Callithrix jacchus: one gene and its partner. The protein of the gene in region 2 purifies or fractionates together with the protein of the main gene of each other region. This does not show direct contact. Links are inferred from orthologs where the notes say so. Each region holds a gene or a part of one and is shown on either strand. Other genes may lie near its edges.

What was found.
Region 1: the proteins of TRPC4AP (region 2) and CUL4B purify together in Homo sapiens (affinity purification with mass spectrometry; 4 studies listed by BioGRID and IntAct, counting the BioPlex papers as one, with this or other methods). This does not show direct contact. The link is inferred for Callithrix jacchus from reciprocal best matches to the Homo sapiens genes TRPC4AP and CUL4B.

What each region holds. Positions count from the first base shown.
Region 1 is NC_133524.1:116,417,094-116,420,906, reverse strand, and holds part of CUL4B (cullin-4B), read left to right. Parts: intron 1-136; coding exon 137-241; intron 242-737; coding exon 738-848; intron 849-1,304; coding exon 1,305-1,390; coding exon of another isoform or gene 1,391-1,396; intron 1,397-2,054; coding exon 2,055-2,117; intron 2,118-2,492; coding exon 2,493-2,600; intron 2,601-3,588; coding exon 3,589-3,702; intron 3,703-3,813.
Region 2 is NC_133506.1:4,220,024-4,224,354, reverse strand, and holds the start of TRPC4AP (short transient receptor potential channel 4-associated protein), read right to left. Parts: upstream 3,021-4,331; 5' UTR 2,678-3,020; coding exon 2,228-2,677; intron 1-2,227. UniProt on the Homo sapiens protein: Substrate-recognition component of a DCX (DDB1-CUL4-X-box) E3 ubiquitin-protein ligase complex required for cell cycle control.

The DNA of each region.
Region 1 (3,813 bases), on a different chromosome or scaffold from region 2:
ACTTTGGAGACTTTAAAAAGTGCATATAAGTTTCTGAAGTATTGAAAAACTGAGTGTATGATATTCTTTGGGTATAGTGCCCAGTATTTCATGTATTCCCCTGGTTATTAAACAACAAACTTCTTTCCCATTTTAGCTAAGTATGTAGATTCAAAGCTTCGTGCGGGCAACAAAGAAGCTACAGATGAAGAACTTGAGAAAATGTTGGATAAAATTATGATCATATTTAGATTTATCTATGGTAAGTATTTACTAATGTTTTAATATTTTTCTTTTAAAATAGCACTCAACAGAGAAGCTAGCACGTATATTCAACCTGGAGGGAATATTTATTTGGGAATTACAGATTTAAAATTGTTTTTAATTCTTTGGGGGGATACTTGAGGAATGTTACCTAATTGTCCTATGCTTTGACTCTTCTAGTATGAAGTGCCTTAGTTTGTGCTACTTGGTTTAATCTCTCCAATATTTGCACCAAAGCTACCAGTCCACAAAAGCTTTTCTGAAGAAAAATTAATGCAATAAAGACAGTTAAATGCAAAAAAGTTTTACAATAAAAACTTTGAAATGTCTGACACTAAAATGCATCTTTACTGTTACTTGCATTTAACAAACTTAGATAAAATGTGTAAAGTAAAATAACTTGGAATAATGGTGTGATTTATTAAAGCACTTTGAAGCAGTTTTGTCAGAACTTTTTATTGAAATATTATAAATTTTGCATGTTTTTTACATAGGGAAGGATGTTTTTGAGGCCTTCTATAAGAAAGATTTAGCTAAGCGCCTGTTGGTTGGGAAGAGTGCATCTGTAGATGCTGAAAAATCAATGCTGTCCAAACTTAAACATGGTAGGTTTCTCATTCTTCCCATTCCTTTTCTTTGATTTTTGAAGGAGAATGTTACCCTTTTACTCTTTCAATTAGTTTCCTCTTGTGTCAATCATGTCTATGTATATATGATGAAAACATAAATTGAGCAAGCTCCTGAGGTTTCCAACTTACTGTACATATATCCAGAGCTGTCGTGTTTTTGAAGATAAAACCTTGTTCTTGGTTTTATTATTTGTATAAAAATTTCCCATTTATTTTATACCTAAATAGTAGATAAGGTTACTACAGGATTAAAGAGTTTGACTCTGAATTAATGGGGCATACACTTTGGGGTAAGGATTTCTTTTTATTCTTATGAATAGTTACAGATCATACTTCATACTAAAATAAGTTTTGTATTTCATGTTTACCATTTTAAACCTCTTTTGTTTTTACCATTTTAAAATATTATACATGTACAAACACCTTTAATAGAATGCGGAGCTGCTTTCACCAGCAAACTTGAAGGAATGTTTAAAGACATGGAACTTTCTAAAGACATCATGATTCAGTTCAAACAGGTAAAAGTGAGTTAAACTCTTACTTAGTTCCTCAAACTTAGTTATATTTAGTTATCTGCTCGCCGTGATTTCTACAGAAGAGGATAAATAGAAACATGTTTGTTGTAATTACTTCATGGCAACTGAGGTGATATTCACAGTAGAAAAAAATCATCAATGAAATAGAAGTATATTTGACCTACTTTAGGATTTATTTTTAACAAACACCCAGAATAACACAAAAATAAAAATAAAATGAGTTGAACTGAGGTCAGTACAAGAAAAGCTATAGGTAGATAGTGGGAACAGGGCTTTCCCCAGCATGTTACCATTTGGTGATTTGCATGTTCAGAGCTTGCAATGGGGAGAGGAGAAGTGATAATGTAGCTGTATAAAGTCTTTGGGGACATTGGGAATAGAAAGCTAGATCCACAGTTTTGAAGATGTAGGTAGAAAGTAGTTTTGAAATATTGAAGAACATAGGTGATAGTGATGGCAAATTAAATTTTCCTCTTTTGGGGTTTTAATAGTGACTTCTGTACCCCACAGTGTTGCTAAGTTGGAAAGTGGAAGTGAAAGTATTAAGAAAAAAATCAGGGCCAGTAAGATTATAGATCCTATAGTAGCTACAGAATAGGGCTTACCTGCTTTGCCCTTTTCCCCTCTTCTTCCTTCCCTACTCCAGGTCTCTCCCTGCAGACAGGCAGTGGAGCAAGCGAAAAACTGGAGACTTGGGCTGACTGGTGGGGTGAGGAATGGGGGTTGCTGCAAGGTGTTTAAGCCACACAGGGGTATTTAAAGGTGGGGACTGCAGGTGTTATTGGGGAAAATAATGGAGAAGAGATCCTATAACAGCCCAGCTGTATGTGAAAAATTATTTAAGTTGACTGCCTATAATGAGATAATGTGAGCCTTGTATGTCTTTGTATCAGTGTTAACCTCTATACTTGCCTAGTGCATTTTGTGTAGGCTTCATTTAAAGTCCTCTTAATAGTTGCGTTTTATTTTAAGGATGGCCATTATTTGCATGTAATTTCAAAACAAGGAACTTCTTAACTAGGTTATTATGATAGGAAATGTATACAGTTTTAACATCTCAGTGTGTGTGTTGATCTTCTTTTAGTATATGCAGAATCAGAATGTTCCGGGTAATATTGAGTTAACTGTGAATATCCTGACAATGGGCTATTGGCCAACATATGTGCCTATGGAAGTTCATTTACCACCAGAGGTAAGAGTTACTGTTCAGAACCTTAGTTATAGGCATAGAAGTCATAGCACTTCCATTTTGCTTATCATTTAAAAGTAGATATTTAGAAAAAATCAGAGATCCAGGGTCTCGTTGTATTGCTCAGGCTGGTGTTGAACTCCTGGGCTTAAGTTATCTCCCCTGCCTAGGCCTTTTAAAGTGCTGGGATTACAGGTATGAGCCACCAGGCCTGGCATAGATACTTTTTAAAAAGTGTATGTCAGTAAACACATCAGCACCAAATACCAACTGCTTTAATGTTTTACTTTTGTACTTCTAAGTCCAGTTAAGCACATAGCTGACAATACCAAATTTCTGAGTGCAGGGTCAGTTTCCCTGGCTCTTCTTCCATCTTTCCAGATTATATTCCTCATTCTACCTAGCTATTAAGAATTCTTGTGCATATTTCACCCATAGGTGGGATTGCTGAATGGTGGGTGCTTGATTAAATCTGTCCTGACTCCCAGGAAACTGTCTAGCCCAGGACTGAAGCCCATAAAAGGGATTAAGGCTAGACAGATAGATGTTGAGAATCCTCCATGGAGATGATTATGAAAGCCAGGGAGGAGATCTCTCTCAAAGAGGAAGAAAAAATGGCAGCGGCAGAATTTTTAAAAAGGCTCACATTTGGCAGATGGTAGAAAGAGGAACCTGTGAAGGAAACCAATGCAGAAGCAACAGTCAGATAAAGGAACCAGCATAGTGCAGAGGCACAAAATCTGCTGCAGGTGAATGTTTCAAAAAGGGATGATTAAACGGTAGAGAGAGAGCAAAGGGTATAAATCCTAATAAATCCCATTTGATTTGGTGGTTGGGAGATCATTATTTGTCATTAAAGTAATGGTGGACCTACTGGATATAGTCTTAAAATTTTCCAGAAATTATGTCACATGATATAAGTATAAAAGGTGATAAATGTGGTATTGGATACTGAGCTTAAGTAAAACCTTATTTTATTTACTTTATTTAGATGGTAAAACTTCAGGAGATTTTCAAGACATTTTACCTAGGCAAACATAGTGGCAGGAAACTTCAGTGGCAGTCAACCCTAGGACACTGTGTGCTAAAAGCAGAATTTAAAGAGGTAAGTAGATGTTCCCAAAGCTTTCAGTTTTCATCTTTATCTTTAATATTTAGGTCATCCTTCTTACCTGAAGGTTTAAGCTATTGTTTTATAAATGTATCCTAGATATCT
Region 2 (4,331 bases):
CTCTTTTTTCTTTTTTTGAGACAAAGTCTCACTCTCTTGCCCAGGCTGGAGTGCAGTGGCATGATCTCAGCTTGCAACCTCCATTTCCCTGGTTCAAGTGATTCTCCTGCCTCAGCCTCCACAGTAGCTGGGATTACAGGTGCATGCCACTACAACCAGCTAATTTTTGTATTTTTAGTAGAGACGGGATTTCACCATGTTTGTCAGGCTGGTCTTGAACTCCTGACCTCAGATGATCCACCACCTAGGCCTTCCAAAGTGCTGGGATTGTAGGTGTGAGCCACAGCTCCCAGCCTCTGGTAAGCTTTTCTAGGCTCCTCCCATTCGAAGTCACTCAGCACTGGAAACAAATTAAGTTGCCTAAATTGCCTCACTCATCAGGCTCAAGAACTTTTGTGGCTCCCTATTACTCTCAGAACACAGATTATCAGGATGGGTGTTTAGGAACACATCACCTAACCTTTCTGAGCCTCAGTTTCCTCATCCATGTTAAGAAGTGAGTCTTGATAGATAACTCAAAAGCTTGAGGATTAAAGATACCCTATGCCTTGCACCATACTTAATCTAAGTCCTCACTAAAAGTTAGTCCTCTTTCTGCCTGTCTCTATCTACACACCCAGCTCAATAAGGTACCTTAGCTTAAGAAGGAGAGATCAAGTAGTTACAGGATTTTTTTTTTTTTTTTTGAGACAGGGTCTCACTCCGTCAACTACTGCCTCCCAGGCTCAGGTAATCCTCCCACCTCAGCCTCCCATAGGCACGCATCACCAAACCCAGCTAATTTTTTGTAGAGACAGGATTTTGCCATGTTGCCCAGGATGGTCCAGAATTCCTGGACTCAAGCGATCTGCCTGCCTCAGACTCCCAAAGTGCTGGGATTACAGGATCTTAAGTCACGGAGAGAAGAACACAAAGGGGGAAAAAGGCTGCTAAAAAGGTTGTCTGATGCCCAGGAAAACATTTCTCACTCAGAACTGCGCCTTTCATCCACCATCCTCCATACACACAGACCACCTAGCCTTTATTTTATTCTATCCTTTTATCATTTGAGAAAGTGATATGCAAGTTAAATTTAAATACAAAGTTATACTGTGAAAAGTCTCACTCCCATTCTCTTTCCCTTTAGCCCAATTCCCACCTCACTCCCACCAACCACTTTATAGTTTCTTGAGTATCCTTCAAACTTCCTTGATGCAAAAGCTGTCTTTTAAATAAAGCTAATGTTTTACAGGTGTGTTAGCAAGGTTTGAGGTGGGGGAGGGTGAAAGAAGGAGGAGACTAGGTCTTACTAATTCTGCTTTACCCTAAAGCAGTGTCCTTCACTCACTCAAAAATAATAATCACCATATGTTGGGCACCTGTTATAAATCAGATACTTAATATTAACCAACCACTTTCAGCCAGAAATGCACTAATGCTTTACACAATTGCCCCCTTTGATCTCCACAACAATCTTAAAAGGTTGGTTACTAATTCTCATCTTCATCTTACAAGTGAGGAAACTAAGGCACAGAAAGGTAACCTGCCCAACCAAGAGAGAGGAGCAGGGCTTTGAACCCAGGCCTGACTCCAGAGTCCCTCTTAACCATGACGCTCTACATTGGCAAACCAGATCCAGTCTCTGCACCCGCTGGAAGTCAGCCTAATGTGGGAGACAGGCGAGAAAAAGGCAGACAACAAAGAAATATGAAATTATAGACTAAGAAAGTAACGTAAACGAAACCAATGCGCGGCTGTGACAGAATAACAACGGGGACCTACTTTAGAAAGGAGGAAGAGAGAGTGTCAAGGAAAGGCCTGAGAAAATGACATTTATGATAACGCTTGGGAACCGTCTGGGGGCTGCAATGATGACCCCCTCCCCCACGCCCAATACACGGGAGAAACTCGAGGCCCATAGAGACTAAAACAAACTCGCCAGGGTCTCCCAGACATGCAGACGTGGCGCAAGGGAGGGAGGATCCAGAAACCGGGCCCAGGGTTCGTACACGCCATCAGTGCCCACAGCAGCCCAGCCCCGCTCGGCTACTGACAAGGGACATCAAGCCAGCTGCTTTCCACGGCCCCGCTGCAGCTGAGAGCGTCCGGGCAGCTCACAGGGAGGCCTTGCGGCCAGCCAAGGGGGGTCTGGCCTGTCCAGCGGCGGCCTGGAAAGGCCTCTTTCCCGGTCCCTGGCCAGCTCCCGCCTGGTCCGCCCCGCCCCGCCCCTCCTGGGCCAGCCTCGTACCTGCACTGCCCGGACCAGACCCCGGCCGGTCAGCTGGCCCTGCCGCAGCTGCAACAGAATGTTCCCGGGCCGCGGCCGGCCGCCCCATCCGCCCCAAGCCGCTACTGTGGCTGCCGACCGTCTGCCTCGGCCGGCTCCGGACCCTGCCACTGCCGGCGCCGCCGCCATGTCTCCTCGTCCGACAAACAGGAAGCAAGCGGCCTCGGGGCCCAGGAGATTTCTACGGGGCGGCGGAGGGGTCGCCGCAGCGCCCCCAGCGGGCCGTCGGCGGAGGCGCAAGCCGCGTGGCACGAACAGTGCGCGTCGTGGGGGCTGCTGGGAAATGTAGTCCTGCGCGGCAGCGGGGCCGGTGGGAAAAAAGATAAGGTCTTTCCGGTACCTCCGGTTTCTCTGGCCCCCGGGCCCAGCATTCAGGCTGAATCTCCCGAGGTCTGAGATCAGTCCCTGCATGCGCACTCTCCCATTTCTCCCCTTCTGTTTGGGGAGGATGCAGGCAGCTGGCTAAGAAATGATCCTGGGCTTCAGGTCAGGAGTCAGGCCCTCGAATCTGATTCTGGCCTGCTTCTCTCTGCCTGTGACTCGCCGCGGACCTCGACCAAGTCATCGCACTCTGCTCCTGCCCCTCAGTGTCCTCATCAGGTCACTCCAGCTATAGGTCCTGGGATCCTGATCAGTCAATCAGTAGTTCCTGGGGCTTTCTTTGCACCCGACACTGAACCATGTCTGGGGAAAGGTGGGGTGTCTGGGATACAGCGGTGAGCAGAACGGCCTAGAACTCTTTATCACGAAATGCAGGTCACAGGGGAAAACAGCAGAAAGAAATGCACAGACTCAAACTGGATAAGTTGTGTAACTGGATAGGTTGTTGTGAAATTAAATGATGGAAGGCAAAGGGTTTAGTAAGTTGTGACATCACATTCTCTGTCAAAGGGAAACCCTGTCCTACTTTCTATCCACCAGATAGCCTGTTGTCTCTACCATGAGCCCACATATTCATTCTTTAAGCTAACTTCTGTGGCAAGATGGCTCTGACTCCTTGCACCCAATGCACACACAATTTTTCCCTTTCTAGCAAGGGGCTTGCCATAAAAATGAAAGAGGGCCAGGCGCGGTGGCTCACGCCTGTAATCCCAGCACTTTGGGAGGCCGAGGTGGGTGGATTGCCTGAGCTCAGGAGTTCGAGACCAGCCTGGGCAACAAGGGGAAATCCCGTCTCTACTAAAATACAAAAAATTAGCCTGGCGTGGCGGCGTGCACCTGTAGTCCCGGTTGCTCCGGAGGTTGAGGCAGGAGAATTGCAAGAATCCGGGAGGCAGAGGTTGCAGTGAGCCAACCACTGCACTCCAGACAGAGCGAGACTCCGTCTCAAATAAAAAAAAAAAAAAAGTGGGGGGGGGGAGCTAAGTGTGATGTAAGAGGGAATGGTGAAGATTGTGACTCAACTAAGATGGCTGTAAATAATTGCTCAGACCAAACACTTTAAAGAATGAAAAGACACAATAAATAATTACATCTGGACAGTAGGCATAAAAGGGACTCTCCCAGGTGAACTGGCACTCTGGTTACCATCCTCACGCCCCATCTAAAAGGAGTGGTCTCACCATCCTTCTTTATAGAACTAGAAAGAAAAAATTCTAAAATTCATATGGAACCAAAAAACAGCCTGCATAGCCAAAGCAAGAATAAGCAAAAAGAATAAATCTGAGGCCAAGCGCAGTGGCTTGTGCCTGTAATCCCAGCACTGGGAGGCTGAGGCAGGTGGATCATCTGAGGTTGGGAGTTTGAGACCAGCCTGACCAATATGGAGAAACCTCGTCTCTACTAAAAATACAAAAATTAGCCGGATGTGGTGGCACATGCCTGTAATCACAGCTACTTGGGAGGCTGAGGCAGGAGAATCGCTTGAACCCAGGAGGGTTGCCATGAGCCGAGATCGCGCCATTGCACTCCACCCTGGGCAGCAAGAGCAAAACTCTGTCTCAATAAATAAATAAATAAATAAATAAGAATAAATCTGGAGGCATCACATTACCTGACTTCAAACTATACTATAAGGCCATAGTCACCCAAACAACATGGTACTGGTATAAAAATAGGCACATAG